Linked DNA regions of Notamacropus eugenii. Each later gene encodes a partner of the first gene's protein in a complex. Links are inferred from orthologs where the notes say so. Each region holds a gene or a part of one and is shown in the gene's direction. Other genes may lie near its edges.

The links. Proteins that work in one complex are often made in the same cells at the same time.
Region 2: TAF1B (region 1) and POLR2K share a complex: the UniProt entries of both Homo sapiens proteins name them as parts of the pol I pre-initiation complex. The link is inferred for Notamacropus eugenii from reciprocal best matches to the Homo sapiens genes TAF1B and POLR2K.

What each region holds. Positions count from the first base shown.
Region 1 is NC_092872.1:549,074,990-549,085,424, reverse strand, and holds the start of TAF1B (TATA box-binding protein-associated factor RNA polymerase I subunit B), read left to right. Parts: upstream 1-6,096; 5' UTR 6,097-6,178; coding exon 6,179-6,196; intron 6,197-7,538; coding exon 7,539-7,637; intron 7,638-10,435. UniProt on the Homo sapiens protein: Component of RNA polymerase I core factor complex that acts as a GTF2B/TFIIB-like factor and plays a key role in multiple steps during transcription initiation such as pre-initiation complex (PIC) assembly and postpolymerase recruitment events in polymerase I (Pol I) transcription.
Region 2 is NC_092875.1:151,529,706-151,540,554, reverse strand, and holds the start of POLR2K (DNA-directed RNA polymerases I, II, and III subunit RPABC4), read left to right. Parts: upstream 1-6,327; 5' UTR 6,328-6,431; intron 6,432-6,803; 5' UTR 6,804-6,812; coding exon 6,813-6,873; intron 6,874-10,849. UniProt on the Homo sapiens protein: DNA-dependent RNA polymerase catalyzes the transcription of DNA into RNA using the four ribonucleoside triphosphates as substrates.

The sequences.
Region 1 (10,435 bases):
AGGATTAGCCAAATGGAAAAGGAGGTTCAAAAGCTCACTGAAAAAAATAGTACTTTAAAAATTAGAATGGAACAGAGGGAAGCTAATGACTTTATGAGAAACCAAGAAATCACAAAACAAAACCAAAAGAATGAAAAAATGGAAGATGATGTTAAACATTACTTTTATAAAAGTTAAGAAATCCCTTTTATAGTTACTTATGTTCATGGTTTAACTCCCCTCCTAGCCAGTAAGTTCCTTAAAGGTAGATCCTACAATTTTGTTGGGTAGCAATATGGTGCAGTAGAAAGAATACCAGGTTTGGAATCAGAAGTCCTGGATTCAAATCTCAATCACAAATAATATTCATTGTGTCATCTTGAGTTAACTGCTCTAATTCTTATTTTCATCATTTCTAAAATGGGAATGATAAGGCTTGCAATTATCCTCATTAGATTATTGTAAGGGAACACCTACAGAAATATATTATGTACTTAATATTATGTGTCTTTGTATCACTCCCTATACCTAGTTATAGAGGGAAGGCTTTATAAATATTAAGTGTTCAATAATGATTTGTTGAAAAAAATGAATGTATGAAACAGGACTAGCAAATAAACCATGAGTTCTGGTTATATAATGTACACTCTATACAACCTTAATTAAAGCAAAACAAAAATCTTTCCTTCAACTCTTTGGGATTTGCCAATTTCCTTCTAGCAAAGGTTGCACGACTGGTAAATCAGGAATCAAAAGATGAAAGATTCCATCCTGAGGGTGGTGTAAGGAAAGTATGAGTCCCACATCCTGCTCTTCTCCCCAGACAGACATTTTCCAGTGGAAATTCCTGAGGGCAGACAAAAGGAGAATCAGAAAACAAAACCAAAACCAACCAACCAAACAAACAAAAAAAGACTTCAGTGTCAAGAATGTTGACTGCTCCCTAGAATATATCTGCTAGCATTTAATAGTTCTCCAGAAAGCTTTGAAGTTAATAATAGGTTTCTACCCTGCATTTTACCTAATGATCTTGTAATGCACAATTCCCATTAATTAAATAATAATAAATTAAGTATCTGTCTTTTATATTAAAGAAAGAATTCTAAAATGAAGAATTAATGTAAAGTGTAGCCAGATTAAATGACCACAATGGCATTTGATGACAGTGCTTTCCCTTGGAAATACGACTCACAAATTTGTGCTGAACTGTGAGTTGAGTGTTAGTTAAGCCTCAAGTCATTTTACTTTTTTTTTTAATTTAATTTATTTAACTTTTAACATTCATTTTTCACAAAATTTTGGGTTCCAAATTTTCTCCCCATTTATCCCCTCCGCCCACCCCAAAACACTGAAAATTCTAATTGCCCCTATCACCAATCTGCCCTCTCTTCTATCATCCCTCCCTCCCCTTGTCCCCATCTTCTCTTTTGTCCTGTAGGGCCAGATAACTTTCTATACCCTTTTACCTGTATTTCTTATTTCCTAGTAGTGCAAACAGTACTCGACAGTTGATCCTAAAACTGTGAGTTCCAACTTCTCTTCATCCCTTCCTCCCCACCCATTCTCTTTGGGAAGGCAAGCAATTCATTATAGGCCATATCTGTGTAGTTTTGCAAATGACTTCCATAATAGTCATGTTGTGTAAGACTAACTATATTTCCCTCCATCCTATCCTGCCCCCCATTTCTTCTATTCTCTCTTTTGATCCTGTCCCTCCCCAAGAGTGTTGACTTCTAATTGCTCCCTCCTCCCATTACCCTCCCTTCCATCATCCCCCCCACCCTGCTGATCCCCTTCTCCCCCACTTTCCTGTATTGTAAGATAGGTTTTCATACCAAAATGAGTGTGCATTTTATTCCTTCCTTTAGTCGAATGTGATGAGAGTAAACTTCATGTTTTTCTCTCACCTCCTTTCTTTTTCCCTCCACTAAAGTCTTTTGCTTGCTTCTTTCATGAGAGATAATTTGCCCCATTCCATTTCTCCATTTCTCCTCCCGATATATTTCTCTCTCACTGCTTAATTTCATTTTTTTAAGATATGATCCCATCCTATTCAACTCACTCTGTGTTCTCTGTCTCTGTGTGTGTGTGTGTGTGTGTGTGTGTGTGTGTGTGTGTAATCCCACCAACTTCCCAGATACTGAAAAGTTTCAAGAGTTACAAATATTTTCTTTCCATGTAGGAATGTAAACAGTTCAGCTTTAGTAAAGTCCCTTATGACTTCTCTTTGCTGTTTACCTTTTCATATTTCTCTTCATTCTTGTGCTTGAAGGTCAAATTTTCTTTTCATCTCTGGTCTTTTCATCAAGAATGCTTGAAAGTCCCCAATTTCGTTGAAAGACCATCTTTTCCCCTGAAGTATTATACTCAGTTTTGCTGGGTAGGTGGTTCTTGGTTTTAGTCCTAGTTCTTTTGACTTCTGGAACATCCTATTCCACGCCCTTCGATCCCTTAATGTAGAAGCTGCTAGATCTTGTGTTATCCTGATTGTATTTCCACAATACTTGAATTGTTTCTTTCTAGCTGCTTGCAATATTTTCTCCTTGACCAGGGAACTCTGGAATTTGGCCACAATGTTCCTAGGAGTTTCTCTTTTTGGATCTCTTTCAGGCGGTGGTCTGTGGATTCCTTAAATACTTATTTTGCCCTCTGGTTCTAGAATATCAGGGCAGTTTTCCTTGATAATTTCATGAAAGATGATGTCTAGGCTCTTTTTTTGATCATGGCTTTCAGGTAGGCCCATAATTTTTAAACTGTCTCTCCTGGATCTATTTTCCAGGTCAGTTGTTTTTCCAATGAGATATTTCACATTATCTTCCATTTTTTCATTCTTTTGGTTTTGTTTTGTGATTTCTTGCTTTCTCACAAAGTCATTAGCCTCCATCTGTTCCATTCCAATTTTGAAAGAACTATTTTCTTCAGCGAGCTTTTGAACCTCCTTTTCCATTTGGTTAATTCTGCTTTTGAAAGCATTCTTCTCCTCATTGGCTTTTTGAACCTCTTTTGCCAATTGAGTTAGCCTATTTTTCAAGGTGTTATTTTCTTCAGCATTTTTTTGGGTCTCCTTTAGCAAGGTGCTGACCTGCTTCTCATACTTTTCTTTCATCTCTCTCATTTCTCTTCCCAGTTTTTCCTCCACCTCTTTTACTTGATTTTCAAAAACCTTTTTGAGTTCTTCCATGGCCTGCACCCATGGTATATTTATTTTGGATGTGTGGGATACAGAAGCCTTGACTTCTGTGTCTTTCCCTGATGGTAAGCATTGTTCTTCCTCATCAGAAAGGAAGGGAGGAATTATCTGTTCACCAAGAAAGTAACCTTCTATAGTCTTATTTTTTTTCCCTTTTCTGGGGATTTTCCCAGCCAGTGACTTGACTTCTGAGTGTCCTCTCCACACCCACTTTGCCTCCAGATCCACCCAGCCAGTGCTTGGGGTATGAGATTCAAATGCTGCTTCCCAGCCTCAGGGCTTTGGGTGGGGGCAGGGCTGTTATTCAATGTGAGATTAAGTTCAGCTGCTCAGGTTGGGGCAGGGCCACCTCACAGGCTCAGTTCCCTCAGGGGGTTTATGGGGAGACCTTCAACAATGGATCCGAGTTCCTGCCTGCTTGGGAAGCCCCTGTCCGCCCGCCACCTCCGCTGCTGCCTCCCAAGGGGGGCCCGAGCCACGGGGACACCCCACTCCCGTCCGCCACCCAAAAAGACTTTCTCACCGACCCTTGTCACCTGTGGGTGGAGGGACTTGCTTGGCGCTGGAGATTCTGTCCCTGAAGCCTGCTCAGATCTGCTCCTCTGGGCACCACGAGGCTGAGGCAGGGCTGAGCTCTGCTCTGGTCTGGGGCATGAATGGACCTTTTGCGTCAGGTTTTCAGGGCTCTCTGGAACAGAAATCTTGTCCACGCCATTGTTCTGTGGCTTCTGCTGCTCCAGAATTTGTTGGGAGTTCTTCTTTACAGATATTTTATGGGCTGTGGGTTCGGAGCTAGCATATGTGTGTCTTTCTACTCCACCATCTTGGCTCCTCCCCCTCAAGTCATTTTAAAGTACCTACATTAACATGCTTTGTTTTCTGAAACTTTGTTACCTCTTGTGCGCCTTGTTTCTTATCATTGCCCATACTGCTTTCCTCCCTTCTCCTACATCATCCTGAAATCTAGTCCCAGTGCTGGCACTGAGGCCAAGGAGAACATGTCTAATTGCAATCCTTCCCTGTCACCCCCCACAATTGCCCTTCAAACACTGGAAGGAAATGAACATGTCCCCAATATTCTCTTCATATTAAACTTTCTCAATTCCTTTAAAGGATCTTTTATCCTCCCGTGACACAGTATCTAACTTTCTCATGGTCTTGTGAACCATTTCAAATCAATTGCCTTCCAGTTTAAAATGCATTTACCAGAATTTTAACAGGTACTCTGGATGTGGTCTGATTAGGACAGAAGACATGAGAAATTGTCATCTTCTCAGTCCCGGATCCTAAACCTTTCAATATAGCCTAAGATATCAGTATTTTGGGCTACCATGTTGTAACTCTGTTTTTTCCTGTGACACTGCCACCACCCTGGTGAAGGTTCTCCTGCTGCAAATTTCACCTCACTACATATAGTCCAGCCTCCAGTCAGCTACCAAAGTGATCTTCCTAAAGCATAAGTCTGATCAAGTCACCAACCTCCCTCCTATTCCCCTCCATTCAACAGACTCCTTATTACCTCCAGGATCAAATATAAAATCCTCTGTTTGGCTTTTTAAAGCCCCTTCATAATCTGTCTCTTCTACTTACCTAGTCTTCTTATACCTTACACCCCTCTACATGCTCCATGTTTCAATGACACTGTCTCTTTGCTGTTCCTGGATGGAGTGTGCCCTATACCTCATGTCTTCACATTTTGATTAGCTGTCCTCCATGTCTAGAACCTTCCCCCTCCTCACATTCACCCCCTTGGCTTCTCTGGATTCCTTTAAGTCTCAGCTGTGGTTGTGGATTGTCCTTCATTCAGGAAGAGGACCATGACATGAGGAAGATAATGCCATGACTTGCAACTGAACCGGATTTGAGTGGGGGAAGGTTGTGCAAAGTTACCAGCCTCACTTTCTTCTCCAGAGTCATCTGGGTTCAGTGACCAGATACAGATCAGGACAACTGGCCATGGCTCAGGATGTAGTGAGAGAGAGTTCTCACTTTGACGAAACAGTGATTGGGCCTATTTAAGAAGTCAGCCAAGGCCCCTTTAATCAATCAATTAATCAATCAATCGATCAAAAACTGGGAGGGGAAGACCCTCAGAAGTCTCAGCTAAAGTCTCACTGCAGGAGATCTTTCCAGATCCCCCCAAGTCTAGTAGTGCCTTCCCTTTGGGATCATCTCCCATTTATCCTGTATATATTTTCCCACTATGATCTTTTTGGTAAGCCCGTGAGCTCCCTGAGAGCAGGCACCGTTTTTTGCCTTTCTTTGAATCTCCAGGGCGTGGGCACAGTTTGATGCAGGCTGGCTGACTTGGTTTGACTCGACTTGCCCTGGTTACCGAGCTTCCGAAAGGGCTGAGGCAGACCACAAGTCTGGTCTCCTTTACTGCAGAGCCAGGCCTCTGTCTAGACGTTTCACCCAACGCCTGGTGAGCTCCCGGTGACAAAGGGGTGTGGGTTTGTCTCTGTATCTCCACCACCTGGCACAATGATCGGCACACGGCACGCTCTCAAGAAGTACCTGCAGAATGGGGTGGAATGCCCATTCAAGTTCTTCTGATTAGAGTCCATCGGTCAATTAGCATTTATAAAGCACCCATGCTCTTTCACTCTGCTAAGCGCTAAGGACACCAAAAAAAAAGAAAGGGAAAAGACAGTCTCCGCCCTCGGACTTACGGTTTAACGGGAGAGACAGCAGGAAAAGAGCCAGCTACCGGGGGTGGCCGCAGGAGGAAGGCGCCGGCATCCCGACCTGCCTGGGCTGCGGCCAGCCGGCTGACTTGGAAACCGAAGCTCGGCGGAAACGCGAGCGGCGGCTCCCGAGCCGGGGCTGCCCCATTCCCGAGCGCTCCTCATCCGGCTGCGCCGGGAGGGACGTGGAGGAACGCAGCTGCCCCGGAACCGAAAGTGCCTGCCGGTGGTTTCCGCCCCGGAAGAGTGCCCCTGAGGACTTCCGGGAACCTCCGCGGCGCGAACGTGCATTCTCTGAGTAACGGAAGACCTGGGCTCCGCTATGGAGTTTGAGGAGGCGGTGAGGACTCGGGGCCCGGCCGGGAGGGCTTGGTCAAGGCCCCCGGGAGCAGTGAGGGCCTGGAGTGTGAATGGGTGTGGGTGTGAGGGTGTGTGTACACGGGAGCGTACGTGTGTGTGTGCGTGTGTGTGTGGGGGGGGGGGGTGTGCGCGTGTTTGAAGAGGTACCGACCGTTAGGTGATGTGACGGGGTGTGTGCGCGGGAGTGCACGTGTGTGTTCGTTTAAAGAGGTACCGTCCGTTGTTATGTAGCGTTAGGAGTGTGCGCACACGTGAATTCCACAGACGCTTGTTTAAGCCCCTGAGGAGTTCCCAAGTATGTGCTGGCCTCTGGAGGAAGCGGGATGGGGGAGGGGAGATCAAACACCGGGTGGGACGGAGCCTTCCCTTAAATAACTTAGGTTCTGCTGGAGGAAAATGGCCGTACTTAGATAACTAAGTCAGGTTGGAATTGAGAGGAGCGTGGAGATGAGGGGCGTGTGTGTGTGTGTGGTCTCTTTTTGTATCCTACGTGGCAGTTCCACACAGTAGGCTCTTAATAAATGTTTATTGATTGATTCATTTCGTTATTGTCAAAGCTTTCCAACTTTGTGTCATTGGAATTATGTTTTTTCTTTTTTTTGGATCACCTCTGTTCTTTAGTTGAGAATTCTTTCCCCAGCCACACCTTATTATTCTCTTTTTTAGTAGTGTAACCTTTAATCGGGTCATGTATCCATTTTGAGCTTATTGCGGTGTAAGAGGTTTATATCCCATTTTATGTCAAAGTTTGCATTCTGGTTTTCTTCAGTAACTCCATTATCAGGGTCCTGTGAGTCACCTGAAAGAGAAGACCTCACTTTTCAGACCATCTGTCCCATACCTGATAATTTCACAAAATCACAGAATTTGGGAATAGAAGGGACCCTAGCAGCTATGCAGTTCAATCCATACATAAAAGGAATATGGGCAGGGATATACCAAACAAGTGGTCCAACCTCTGCCTGCAGAATTCAGCTCCCAAGTGGGGGAAACACAAATTATCAAGGTGCAACTCATCTCACTTTTTTGGTATACCTCTAGTTTTTAGGAAGTTTTTCCTGATATCTCTAAAACGAACCTCTTTGGTTCACACCTCATGCTGAATTTTTGGTGGCATCTCTTAGGACAGGACCACGAAGATCATCTTCTCCAATCTGCTACCCTCTCAGTCCCCCTTTCTTTGTCAGGGCCTCTAGTTCCTGTCCTCCTACTTAGCTACACCTCTCCGAGTAGCTAAATGAAGTATACAGTAATGGAAAATGCACTGTCTAGATTTATATTTGAGTTAAATATATTGAATGCATATTTTTCTTCCTTTACAGGGAGACTTTAATGAACCCTGTACGCAGTGTGCTGCTGTTTCCTGGGGAGTTACTGATGAAGGAACATATTATTGTACAACTTGCCTCAATGTTACAGAGGTAAGTTTGCTTACATTTAAAAATTTCTGTAATGAATAGAAAATGCTGAAATATAATTTGCAAAGTTTTATAGATGAACAATCCAAATATTTTCTTCAGTCATGTCATTTGAAAATATATCTTCGCAAAAATTTTAGACATAGGATGATGTCTTTAATTATTATATTGATTCTGCCAGAAGTTTGAAGTGGTTCTGTTTAACTACTAAACATTAGACTCCTTCAGGGAAGAAATTATCTTAGCTTCCTTCAAGGAAGAGATTTTAAATCTCCTAACTTGATCTGTGGTTTGATATTGTTTTGGTCTGGAAGCTGTGAATTTATTGATGTAGGGAAATACTTGTTGTGGAAGTTTCCTGCACTGACACAGATCAACAAATCTTCTGTAATATATATGTATAGGAAGTTGCCTGAGGCAGTGAGAAATTCCATGACCATGGGTTGTCAAAGTATAGACTTGAACCTAGGCCTTCATGACTTGAAAGATGGTCCTGTATCCATGGTGCCACACTGCTTTTGTACATAGCAGGTACTTAATAAATGTTTATTTTAGTATTCTTGGAATTGAACTCTGGGACTCATTTTGGACTTTTAGGATGATTTAACTCTAGTTATTAATACTGTTAAAGGTTTTAAATGTTATTCTAAATTGTTCCCTACGTATATAGCTGAATTTGCTATAGTAGCGAAAAAGACTCCCCAAATACTGCATATTACCTATAAGAATATTGGAATATAAGCAGATCCCAACAAATGTACCATTAAGAAATTGATGTCTTAACCATGTGACCAAATGTCTGTATGAACTCCCCTTCTCTCCTTATTGCCTTCTTCAACAAGCATTTCTTAAGTGCTTAATATGTGTTAGTACTGTCTTAGGTTCTGGGATAGAAATTAGACAGTCCATGTTTTCAAGTAGCTTCTATTCTATTAGGAAGAAACAACATGTACATATATAAGTAAATCCATACAGAATAATTTGACTTTTTTGGGTGGGGATGTAAATCAGGAATAAGGAAAAGTCCTGTATAGGAAGAACTTGAGCTTGAACTTGAAGGAAACGAGGCCTTCTAAGAGGTCGGGAGGTGGGGAGGTTTTGCATTTTAGGTATGGGAGACTAACTGGCATGTAGAAAGAACAGCAAAGAAATATGGAAAGATATATGAAGTAATGAAAGACATGGTCAAAAAATAAGAAAAGCAACCAATATGTTGACTAAAGCAGAATAAAAAAAACCACTTAACTTTTTATAAATATACAGGTGAATAAAAAGGACAAAGAATGAGTTGATTTTTGTTATTAAAATTTTTTATGTTGTTGTTTTTCAATCATAATGTTTGGATTTGATGATTTTATCTAGAAATTTATTCCATGTTTTGTTTGTATTTGTTGAAAGTGTAACTATTTTAAAAGTAAAAAAAATCTGTAGAAGATTGTTTGAATAGCAGCATGGCACAGGGGAACGTTTGCTGAATTTGGAATCAGAATCTGGATTTGGATCCTGGCTTTGCTACTCTTTACTTTTGTGAATTTGGGCAAGTCTCTTCCCTTCTCAGGGCCACAGGTTTCTCTTCTGTGAAATGAGAGAATTGGACTGTAGATGGTCTGCAAAATCCCTTCCAACTTTAAATTGATCATTGATAGCAGCTAGCTAATCAACAAATGTTTATTAAGTGTCTCCAATATGCCATGCACTGTTTTAAGTGCGAGGGAAACAAAGACATACATGAAACTTGTCCTTGAGGAGCCTGTATACTTTAGGTGGAGACAACATGTACATGTATAAGCATATACAACAAATGCAAGACAATTTCAGGGACAGTAGGTATTCAGGAGCAGGTTGAGGAGGTTCAGTAAAGTCATTGACTAGGAAGTAGCATTTGGGATGGACTGAAAGACACTAAGAAGAGCATTCCAGGCATGGGCAGTAACCTGTACAAAGGAGATGAATGTGATCTGTAAGGAGGACAAGGAAGCCACTTTAGCTGGCTCATAAAATGTGTGAAAATGTAAAATGTATAATAAATCTGGAGAGGTGGTTTGGAGCCAGGTTGTGAAGAACTTTTAAGTGTCCAACAAACAAGTTTGATACTTTACTTAATAAGGAACCACTGGAGTTTATTGTGTCAGGAAGTGACATGGTCAGATCAGTTCTTTAAAAGTGACTCTTTGGCAACTTTGTGGAGGATTGACTGGAGAGGGGACACACTTGGCTCAGGTGGACTAATTAGCAGACTTTTGCAGTAGTCAAGGTAAGAAGTAAAATAAATACTTAAGTTAGTGGTAGCCTTGTAGGTGAAAAGGAGAAAAATGTGAGTGATATCATACTGCTAGAATTGGACTTGGCAATATGTGAGGTTTGAACCCAAAGTAAAAATTTGCAATATAGAGACATTAAGAGGCAATTCCATTAAAAACAATCTAAAGGTTCCTGATGTCACTATTTCTGTTTAACAGAGCATTAGAAGTAGTAAAATATGACATTTACATAGGATTCTAATGTTAGCAAAGCATATTTTTTCTCATTTAATTCTGCTGATAACTCTGTATAGGAGGTATGTGGGTATTTTTGTCACTGTTTTATAGATGAGGAATTGCCTTATGAATATGCCTTTCTGTCTTTTTTCCTCTTGGCATTTCTGATTCTTCTCTCCTCTTGGACCTTGCCACCAGTATTCAGTTTCACACCTCACCCCAGGTTTAGAGTAACGTCTTTCATGAGAAAAACAGAAGACTATGCCTCTAAGACCATTTTTCCCTCATCATCCTCATGCTTCTTTGGCAGTGTCCCTAATTCCA
Region 2 (10,849 bases), on another chromosome or scaffold:
TACTACAATAATTATCCAGACCCCCCTCAGTAAAGGAAAAAACAAAAAAACAAATCACAGCCTTCTACTGTAAGGAGGTGTTTAGTAGATACTTTAATTGAAGTGAAAGAAATAGTTTAACTATCCTGAAACCACATTTCCTCTATTTGTAAAACTAGGATACCTACCATCAGATAAACTTTGAAATCTCTAGACTATATTAATTTTGCAAATGCAGAAAAATCTAATTAAACCATAAACAAGTATCCTGTTCTCTGAACAATCAATGGGATCATGGGATGGAGTGGAGCAGAAGAAGACTCAACATCACCGTGATCAAATTAGAGAAAAAAAAACCTTTGAGATGAAGTGCGAAACAGTAAATAAGAATGCTTACTATGAGCCAGACACTATGCTTAGTATAATCATAAGCCTCTCAAGTACTAAAATCTGAAGGGTGTGGAATATAAATGCTGTGATGCAACTCTAAATTTATGAACCTATGATCACTACATTTAAAAACAAAATATTTTGGAATGTTCTTCACCCTTTCATACAACAGAAATCTTAATCTTCTTTTCCCTCGATACACTGCTGAATGTTATGAATAAACTCCTTAATTAGGTTTCTCAAGAGGAGGAGGGGTGCCAGAGTTCTATAAATTCCTTGCCCTTGGAGAAAGGTATGTGTTGGTGGGGATAGGTGATAACCTAGCTTCACCTAAATCATCACTAGTTTTCCTCACTTTAATTAATTTTACTCCCTCCTGTCCCTCCCCATCCATTTTGGAAAGTTAAGGTTGGATTTCCAGCCACTAAGACGAATTAGTTGTTTTTTTTTTCCTCAGGACCCTGAAAGCCAGGGAGGCAGAGAGATACACACAATTATGAGGGTATAGTCACCTGCAGTAGAGGGAGATAAAGAGGAGGCAGGAGGCAGCAGGTAACTTCAACGCATCTCACCCTTTTCCAGCACCTGGAAAACAAACTGGGGGCGGGGAGGGGGGACTCCCAGGAATTCTGCTCCCCTGCAGCAGCAGCAGTCCCAACAACCTGGGGTCCCCCACCCCCGTCCAACTGGAGACTACAAAGCCCAGGGCAGACTCCTCCTGCCTCCTCTGGGATGGATGAATGGCAGCAGCTGAAGCTGCTGAGCTTGGGAGGGAGGCAAGAGGGAAAGGGGGAAGGGGGCGGGGAAAGGGGAGTGGTGGGGAAGGGTGTGGAAGGGGCAGAGCCACCGGCTTCGGCCCCAGGGATGCTCTGGCTATGGCAACCCCCAATCCCAGGTAGCGTGAGGCCGCCACTGCTTTCCCTCTCTTGGGTTTGAACTCCCCGCCCTGAATAACCGCTAGCTGCGGCCCCTCCCCCTCCCCTGTCCTTCTTTCTCTTCCCTTCCCTCCTCCTCCCCTTCCCTCTTTTTGTCCTTCCCTTTCTCGCCCCTGCCTTGCCTTGCCTTGCCCTGCCCCCGTCCTGTCCCACTCTCCTCTTCTACGCTGCCCTCTAGCTGTCCCAGGCACCTGCCCCGCTCCAGACGTTAGGGACCGTTTTGGGGAGGAATATAGAATGGGAACTACACCCCCCCAACTACCCCCCTATCCCCGATCATTGTCTTTCCCCATCCCAGTCTTGTGCTAGTGGCCACAAATCAAGAAGCTAGGAACAAGCTAAGGTGTGGGAGTTCGTTATTCCTCTTTCAGCTTCTCACATCTTCGTTTAAAGAATATGTTTAGAAAGATAATTATGTGCATTTATTTTCACTGAATATCAGTTTTTAATGTATCCATCCCTACTGTTCCTCACCCCCATCGTTATGCCTTCACCCCACACAGTACCTTCCTTTTCTACTCTTTCCCACATGGGATCTCCCATAGCATGTTTTGTCTATTCATTCGTTTGGTACTCACTGTATGATACCTTACTTATCTTTTTGTGTGTATGTGTTTTGTCTCCCCAACAGGAATTTAATGCCTCATATACCCAATACCTAACACAGTTTCTTGTACACCAGAGGTTCTCAATAAGTTTTTGCAGTATGGTATAGATGAGACAGCAATAGATCATGAAAAGGACCCTAATTTGGAGTCACAAGTTCTGGATTCAAGTCCTAATTCTGCCAATTATTAGAACCCATAAGACTTAGAGCAAACCACTACTCTAAGACTCAGGGTTCAGTGGAAAGAGTGCTGGATTTTGAGTTAGTCTGGCTTCAAAATCTGGCTTTGCTACTATCTCCTATTCACCCTTGACTGAATTCATATTTCTGAGCCACAGCTTCCTCAACTACAAAATGAGGGATTTGTACTACATGACCTTAAAGATCCCTCTACATCCTACTTTTTCATCCTCTGGTCCTAAAGGGTGGGGTTGGAACAAATGCTTTCTTAGGTTATTTCCAGATCTAAAACTAAAATCCCCTTTAATCTCAGGATCCTGGGGTGTTTTTTCTCCTTCCTATTAGGGCTATGTGAGGCATCTCCTACCCTTTTGCTATATATAGCCTCTTTCATTTTTCATTCTGGACCTATATTCTCTGGGTTTTCATGCTGCTGTCTCTTCTTGTTTTCATTCTAACTGATGGACCTCTTTTCAGTCTCATTTGTTGGATCTTCATCCAGGTTATGACCACTAACTGTAGGATCTCCCCCAAGGCTCTGTCCTAAGCCCTCTTTTCCCTCTGAACTATTTCACTTGATAATTTCATCAGCTCCCTTAGATTCAATTATCATCTCTACGCAGATGATTCTCAGATTTATCTGTTCAGCCCTATCCTGTCTCCTGGTCTCTTCTCCAATGTCTATTTGATGTCTTAAATTGAATATTCCATAGACTTCTTAAACTTAACATGTCTAAAGCAAACTCATTATCTCTGCTCCTCCCCCAACCAAAAAAAACCCCCCAAACCAAAACAAAAATAAAAACTAACCTATTCCCTCTTCCTAATTTCTCTATTGTTATTGTTTGGTCTATGTCTTCAAAGAGAACCAATGACATCATGGGTGATGTCTTGACTTGAGCTTGAATTGGATTTAAGTGAGGCATTTGGCCTCACTCTCTCTCTCAGATTCATCAAAATCCAGCAGCAAGACGAAAGTCAGGATGACAAGATTGTTTTCCCCAGGTGTGATCAGTGGGCATGCTTCAGCTTCTTGGAGCCACAGGTGTAAGTTGAGTGCCAGATAGACACCAAAGGTGGATAAGCAGCCCTGAAAAAGGTTTTATTATTATTGAAGGCACTAACATCCTCCCAGTCACCCAAGTCTCCTAACCCATGTCTCTTCTTCATTCTCTCCCATAGCCAATCGGTTGTTAAGTTCTATTATGTTGACCTTTGCAACATCTCTCATACATACCCCCTTTTCTCCTGACAGTCCCACCACCCAGAAGCAGGTTTTCATCAACTCATGCCCGAACTATTGCAATAATCTGCTGGTTGGTCTCCTTGCATCAAGTCTTTCTGCACTTCAGTCTATCCTCCACTCAGATGTCAAATTCATCTTTCTGAAGCACAGGTCACCCCTTTATTCATCAACTCTACTGATTTGCTAGTATCTTCAGGATCAAATACCAAAATCTGTTTGGCTTTTAAAGCACTTCTTAATCTGGTCCCTTCCTACCTTTCCAGTCTTTTTACACCTTATTCCGCTCTGAGTACTCTGAGATCTAGTGACAATGGCCTCCTGGCAGTTCTAGGCACATGACACCCCATCCCCTGACTGGGAATATTCATATGGCTCTCCCAAGCCTGGCACTTTCTCTCTCATCTCCACCTCTGAGCTTCAAGTCTCAGCTGAAGCCCCATCTTCTGTCAAAAACAGCTTTTCCCAGTTCTTTTTAATCCTAGCACCTTGCCTCTGAAATAATCTCTAAGATATCCTCTCTATAACTTATTTGTATACAGTTGTGTTCATGGTATCTCCTTCATTAGATTTAGCTCCTGATTTGTTTGTTTGTTTTGGCTTTTCTTTGTAACCCTAGAGCTTAACATAGCACTTGGCACATGGCAGGTGCTTAAAAAACTGGCTCTATCACAGTCCTCAATAATACCTGTCTATGGGGAAACTATTTTATGAATCTGTCTGAAATAAAAACAGATGCTTCAGAGCACCAGAACGTGTGTGAAAGTTCAGGGCTGTTCTTTTTTCAAATTTATCAAGTTCTAAATTAAAACCTTATCAGCAAGACAGAGAAGTTTAATAAGAGCAGTATTGATTTAGATTGAGGGCATAGCAGGAGTAGCCTGCTTGAGTTCTCCTCCCTATCTCCCACCTCCCCAAACTAGAAAAACCAAGCTACTAAGAGTCTTCTTTTTCCTCTTCCCACTCCTATACCTCAAAGTGGAGCCTAGGTAGAGAATGACATCACCTACCTCAAATGCTGAGTTTTCAGAGTGTTGCTAGTACCCTCTACCCAGAATGAATCCTTTTTACTAACAAACACCCTACCTTTTCTTGGCTGCCTAAGTGTAAGCCACAGCCTTCCCTATCTCCCCTTCATATGCTCTCATCCTCATGTACTTCTAACCTACCCCACCTTTTTCAGGGCTGTTCATTTGGTGTCTGCTTGGTACTCAATTCACACCTGTGGCTCCAAGAAGCTGAAGCATGCCCACTGACCACACCTCAGTAAAATCATCTTGGTTGAGGAAAACCAACAGGCCTCAAACCCATTGGGGGGAGGGAGTCAATCCCAAGCATGTGAAGACTTCCCCTGGCAAAATAGGTGGATGACAACAATTTGTTCCAACAGCCATGAAGGTGGCTGAAGCAGGCACTGTGGAGCGCTTCAAGCTTGATGAGGCATTGAAGATGCCAAGGTCATCCACTGCATCCCAGGCCATCACCAATCATCCTGACTTTTGTCTTACCACTGGATTTTGATGAATCCAGGAGAGTGAGGCTGACTGCCTCACTTAAATCCAATTCAAGCTCAAGTCAAGACATTACCCCATGATGTATTTAGAAAAAAACCACAAAGGACAAATAACCTGTCTTTGTTCTTTCTCTCATTCATCAGATATGTTAGCCCTAGAAGGGGAGTCAGACTATTCCTATTTCCTCATTGCTACTTCCACCCATTGCCTTTGTCTCCTTTCAGCAACCTCTCCTCCTCTTAGGTTCACTCCATTCAAATTTATCACCCAATCTGGACTGGTTCCCAAAACATCTTCTTCCTTTCTCAAAGGATACAGTAGTTGGGTCATAGTATGTTTATCTTTCTCAACTCCTGCCCTTATACTAAGGCACTTCAACATACACATACTATCCTCTCAAACATCTTAAACTCCCAATTCCTCAATCCCTTCAGTTTCCATGACCTACTCCTCCCCTCTACCCCAGCTGCACAGAGAGATGATCACATCCTTGGTCTTGCCCTCCCCTTCAAGTGCTCTACTTCCAAAATCGTAAACTCCTCTCATTCCATCTCTCTTTATACCTTCCTTTCATCTCTCTGTATGTTCCAAAGCTATCTCCTCTGCTCTAAACTTATTTTCCTCCCTTCCCAATCTGAACCCTAGAATTAACCACGTTTACTCTATTCCATCGGCCCCTTCTGTTTCCACTCATGCCCTACTAACAAAGCTAAAAGAGGTCAGCGATTGGGTCTACTACAAATTATTACATGATCTCATTTCAAAAAAGCATGACAATCCTTTTAGTCCTGCCTAATTGTCGCTCTATCCATTGCCCACAGAAGCTATTCCAAGCCTTCTCTCCTCTCAGTGTATAGGGGCTTCAATAAATGTCTGCTGATGAGGTGAATCAGCCAAGTGGTCTGCTGTTACTACGATGACTTGTGTCCCTTGTCCTAGCACGGAGCACTGGACCTGGAGTTACTGTGACTTGAGTTCAAACACTGTCTCACACACTTGCTCTTCCTTCGCGGTTTCCGAGAGGACCCAAGACATCAAGAGACTTGGGGTGAACTGGATCGAAGTGAGGCAGAGTCGCACGAAGTTGTCAGCCTCACTTTATCTTCCTGAGTCAGAGAAAAGTCAAGAAGACGGCCATTGTCCCCGGATGCAGCGGGTGACTGTGGCTTTCTCCCTGCCGACCAAGCTCTAGGCGCTCCGCCCGCTTCCGCCGCCTTCTCGGGCTTCCCAGCAGAGGGGAGGGTTCTCATCTGTCTTCACAAGCTTGGGGGAGACATCCCCCTAACTCATCAACGGGTTTGAGACCTGACCATCTGCAGGAAAGAACTTACGGGCTAAGAACAACCCAGAAGCCTCCAACTCCGCCCCTCAAGCGAAGGACCGCCGACAGTTTGAACTCAGTCCCGCCCATCCCCTTTCCAGCCCTCGCCCCGCCTTCTTCTGATACCAGCCAATCAGTTACCCCCGTCCACGCACGAGCCGGAAGGGGCGGGGTTGTTTGAGGGCGCCTCCACGCGTCATTAGGAAGCGCCGGAAGTAGGTCTCGGCGCTGTGATATCGGGGACCGGATTGCGGTGTGTGAGGTACGCAGGCCTGAGGGTTGAGAGCGTTTTAGATCGAGTTTAAGAACTCGAGATGGGGACCCCGGGGCCTGGAAGCGGGGCAGGTGGCGGGATACCGGGGTCGGTCAGGAGGGCGCCCTTTCTCCGGCGGACCCCGGGGTTGTCGCCCTTGTGTGCCCGAGATGGGTCGCTGCCCTGGGCAGTGTCCGCCCGGACGAGAAGGTAGGATTGGGGAAAACCGCCTTCTGCGGACCTGAGCCGGCCTCATGAATGTCGGATCGGGGCTGTCATTCCCGTGATGCTCGTGGTTTGGGGGTGAGGAGGAACGCGGGCCCTTGCGTCAGTTTGGGGGCCTCTTGGATTGGAGAAAACGTTCCCGTCTGTGGTTTTCAGGGACTGAAGATGGATACCCAGAAGGATGTGCAGCCGCCAAAGCAGCAGCCGATGATATATATCTGTGGAGGTGAGAGTCGCTGTTGAGAAAGAATACCCCGTTTAAGTGGTTCGAAAACACATTCACCTTCCTCGTTGTGTAAAGTCAGTTGTGAGGGACAGATTACCCTTCCAGAATATGGGGCTTCACAGATACATCGCCTGTAATCAAAACCAAACTTCTTACAGATCTGTCAACAACTAATGATAATAGGTGACATTTATATAGTGCTTACTGTGTGCCTGATACGTAGAATGCACATCGTAGTAACATTTATTTAGCACCTACTGTATGCCGGGCACTGTGCTAAATGCTTTACTTATATTATCACATTTGATACTCACCGCAGTCCCGACAGATGCAGTTATTATCTCTATTTTACAAATGAGGAAACTGAGGCAAACGAGTTAAGTCATTTGCCTAGAATTGCACCGCCAGTGAGTGTCTGAAGCTGGATCTGAACTCAGATCTTCCTGACTCCCGACCCAGTATTTTAACCACAACTAGCAAAAAAGGATTGTCTTGTGTTTATTTATTCTCTCAGTTCTCAGCCAGCTTTACTAAATTGTTTTAAAGGCAGAAAAATATGGCAGCAGGGAGGATCAAGGGAACAAAATAAATTGTAAATTGCATAGTTAACTTATGAATTTTAGAATTATAGTATCTTTGCACATAACTAGTATTTTAGCACATAACATAACTTTGCACATAAGAAGGCTTAAAAAAATACTATTAATAACAGCTTTAAGTTTTATGAAGTGCATTTCAACAAATACTATTTTATAAATGAGGAACCTGAGACTTCCAAGTGTGAAGTGAGACAAGAGTCCAGGGTCTCATAGTATGTAACAGTGCTGGGATTTGACTTCCAAATCTTCTGACTCCAAAACCTTGTTATTTCACCCACAACAAAGTAGGAGTGGTTAAAAGTACCTACCTTACTCTTACAGAAAATAGTATGTCCCCTCTCTGAGGCAGCTAGTTGTTGCAGCCCTCCCTCACTCAAAACAAAGTCCAGTGCAAGTCATGTCATCATTTCTCTGATGGCATGGTCTTCTTTGGCAGCAAAGGACTAACACACACACATGTCCCCTGTCTGTAATAGTACCTGAGGATACTGTGGCTTGTTGGGAACTTGGTAGAGGACAGAGTTGAAAAAGGAGAGACAAGGCTAAATATGAAGCTATTTCAGTAATCCAGGCAAGACCTGGTAAGGATTTGAACCAGAGTGGAGATCGTACGAGTAGAGAAAAGGGAACCAATATTAAACATGTGGAGGTAGAAACAAGATTTGGTAACTAATGGGATGTGTGGGGTAAGGGAAAGTAGGGGATTAAGGATAATGGAGAGTTTTTGAACTTGGCTGAGTGAAAGGGTAAAAATAGAGAAGTTAAGAAGAGAGATCTTTTGTTTTGTTTTTTATAGGGTTAGGGTTAGGAAAGGAGGAGATGCATTCGATTTTGGATGTTTTATTTTCCCTTGGAGTAACATTTTGGCATCTTGAACTGCCTGTGGGACAACCCATTTGGAAATGTCTAATGGGCACTTAATTGGTATTTGACTGGAGCTCAGAAGAAAGACTAGGACTGAATATAGCTCCGGCAGTCATCTGCATAGAAATGATAATTGAATCCATGGGAGCTGATCAGGTCACCAAGTGAGAGAATATAGACCGAAGAGAGGGCCCAGGAGAGAGCCTTGGGGTACACTTTTAGGGAGTAGGATGTGGACAGTGAAACAGCAAAGGAGACAGATGAACTGTCAGATAAGAGAAGCAAGTGAGAGCAGTGTCACAAAAACCCAAAGAAGACAGTTTATAGGAGGATCCAGCAGTTAATGTAGTAAGTGCCTGACATGTAGAACTTATTAAAAGCATGGTGATTGATGGAGGAAAGAGTATTCAGTGGTGTCAGATGTTGCAATAGAGGTCAAGAAGGATGAGGATGGTAAAAACCCATCAGGTTTATCAATTAAGAGATAATTGGTATCTTTGGAGAGAACAATTCCAGTTGTGAGGAAATCAGAAAGCCAGATTACAAAGGGGTTGAAAGGAGAGAAGAGAATAAGTTGAGACAATGGGATAGACAGTCTTGCCTAGGATTTTCCATCAGCAGGTATTCATTAAACATGTACAGCATTCCAGGTACTTGTCTAGGTGCTGGGCATACAGGTACAAAGAATGAAACAATCTCCACAGTAAGCTTGTATGCTAATGGAGAAGACAAGTGCATATATTAGTCAGGTAGGTACAGTGGATAAAGCACTGGGCCTCAGTCTGGAAGACCTGAATTCAGATCTTGCCTCAGACTCTTACTAGCTGTGTGATTCCAGGCAAGTCACTTGATCTGTCTTCCTCTGTTTCCTACTGTATGATGGGGATAATAATCATACCTACCTCACAGGATTGTTACAAGGATAAAATGAAGTATTTGTAAAATGCTTAGCACAGTTCCTATCACAGAGTTAGTACTTAATAAATGCTTGCTTCATCCTTTTCTTTCCATTAAAAATATATGCAGTACAAATAAGAAGTTCATAAATACATATACACAAAGTAATTAAATACAAGAAAGTTTGGGGGGGAGGATACTAGGAGTTGAGGGAGATCAGGAAAGACTTCACATGGAAGATGGTAAATCAACTGTATCTTAAAGAAACAAGTAAGATGGAAGTGAATTCCAGACATGGGGCCAGTGACCTGTCCAAACGCATAGAGATGGGAAATGAAGTATTGTATTTGAGAAACTGAAAAAAGGCCTCCTTTGGCTGGATTGCAGAATTTGAGATGAGGAATAAGGTCAAATTAGTCTGAAAAGCTATGTTGGAGTCAGGTTGTATAGGGTTTTAAAAGCTAAACAGTTTACATTTTATTCTAGAGCCAGTAGGAAGTCACTAGAGTTGGTTGAGTTGGGGAGTCACATAGATCTGTGTTTAAGGAAAATCACCTTGGTGTCAGCAGTGGGTAAAGTGGATTGGAGTATGTAGAAACTTGAATCATGAAACCCAGTTAGAAGGCCATTTCAGAAATCAGGGTGAGAAGTGGTGATTGTCTCAACTGCAGTAGGGAGAAGGGATTGCATGTGAGAGAGGTTGTGAAGGTGGAAACTGTAAGGTCTGGCAAATGATTGAATGTATGAGGTGAGAGAAAATCGAGGAGCAAAGGCAGTTGCCTACATTATGAATCTGAGACACTGGAAGAATAGTTGTGTCTTTGACAGAGTAGGTAAGTTTGGAAGAGGAGAAGGTTTTGGGGTGCGGTGGGGAAGGTAATGAGTTCAGTTTTAGACATGCTGAGTTTAACATATGTCTGAGAGAGCCATTTTCTTAAAGCTTAAGTCTGACTGTGTCACTGCCCAATTCAGTAAATTCCAAGGGTCAGTCAGTAAACATTTATTAAGTGCCTACTCTGTGTCAGAGGCTGTGCAATGCACTGGAGATACAAAGAAATGCAAAAAACAATTCCTGCTCTCATGGAGCTTACCTTCTAATGGTGGAAGCAACATGCAAACAACTGTATAAACATGATAAATTGGAGACAATCCATAGAGGAAGGCACTAGGATTAAGGGAATTTGGGAAAGGATTCCTGTAGGAAGTGAGATTGTAGTTGGGATTTGAAGGAAGCCAGTAAATGGAGAGGAAGAAGAGAATTACAGACATGGAGGACAGCCAGTAAAAATATTTGGAGTATCATATGATTGGAACAGTAAGAAGGTCAGTGTCATTGGATTGCAGAGTATTGGGGGAGGGGGAGGATTGGATAGTATAAAATATGAGAAGCTGGTGAGGTGAGGGGCAGGGTTATGAAGGTCTTTGAATACCAGACAGAGAATTTTATATTTGATCCTGGGAAGTGATGGGGAACCACTTGAATTTATTGAATGGGGAATGGCCTGGTCACACATTGGCTTAAGGAAGATCACTTTGAGGCATAAGTGGAGAATGGACTGGAGTGTGGAGACACTTGGGTTACCGAGACCAACCAGTAGGCTACTGCCATAGGCCAG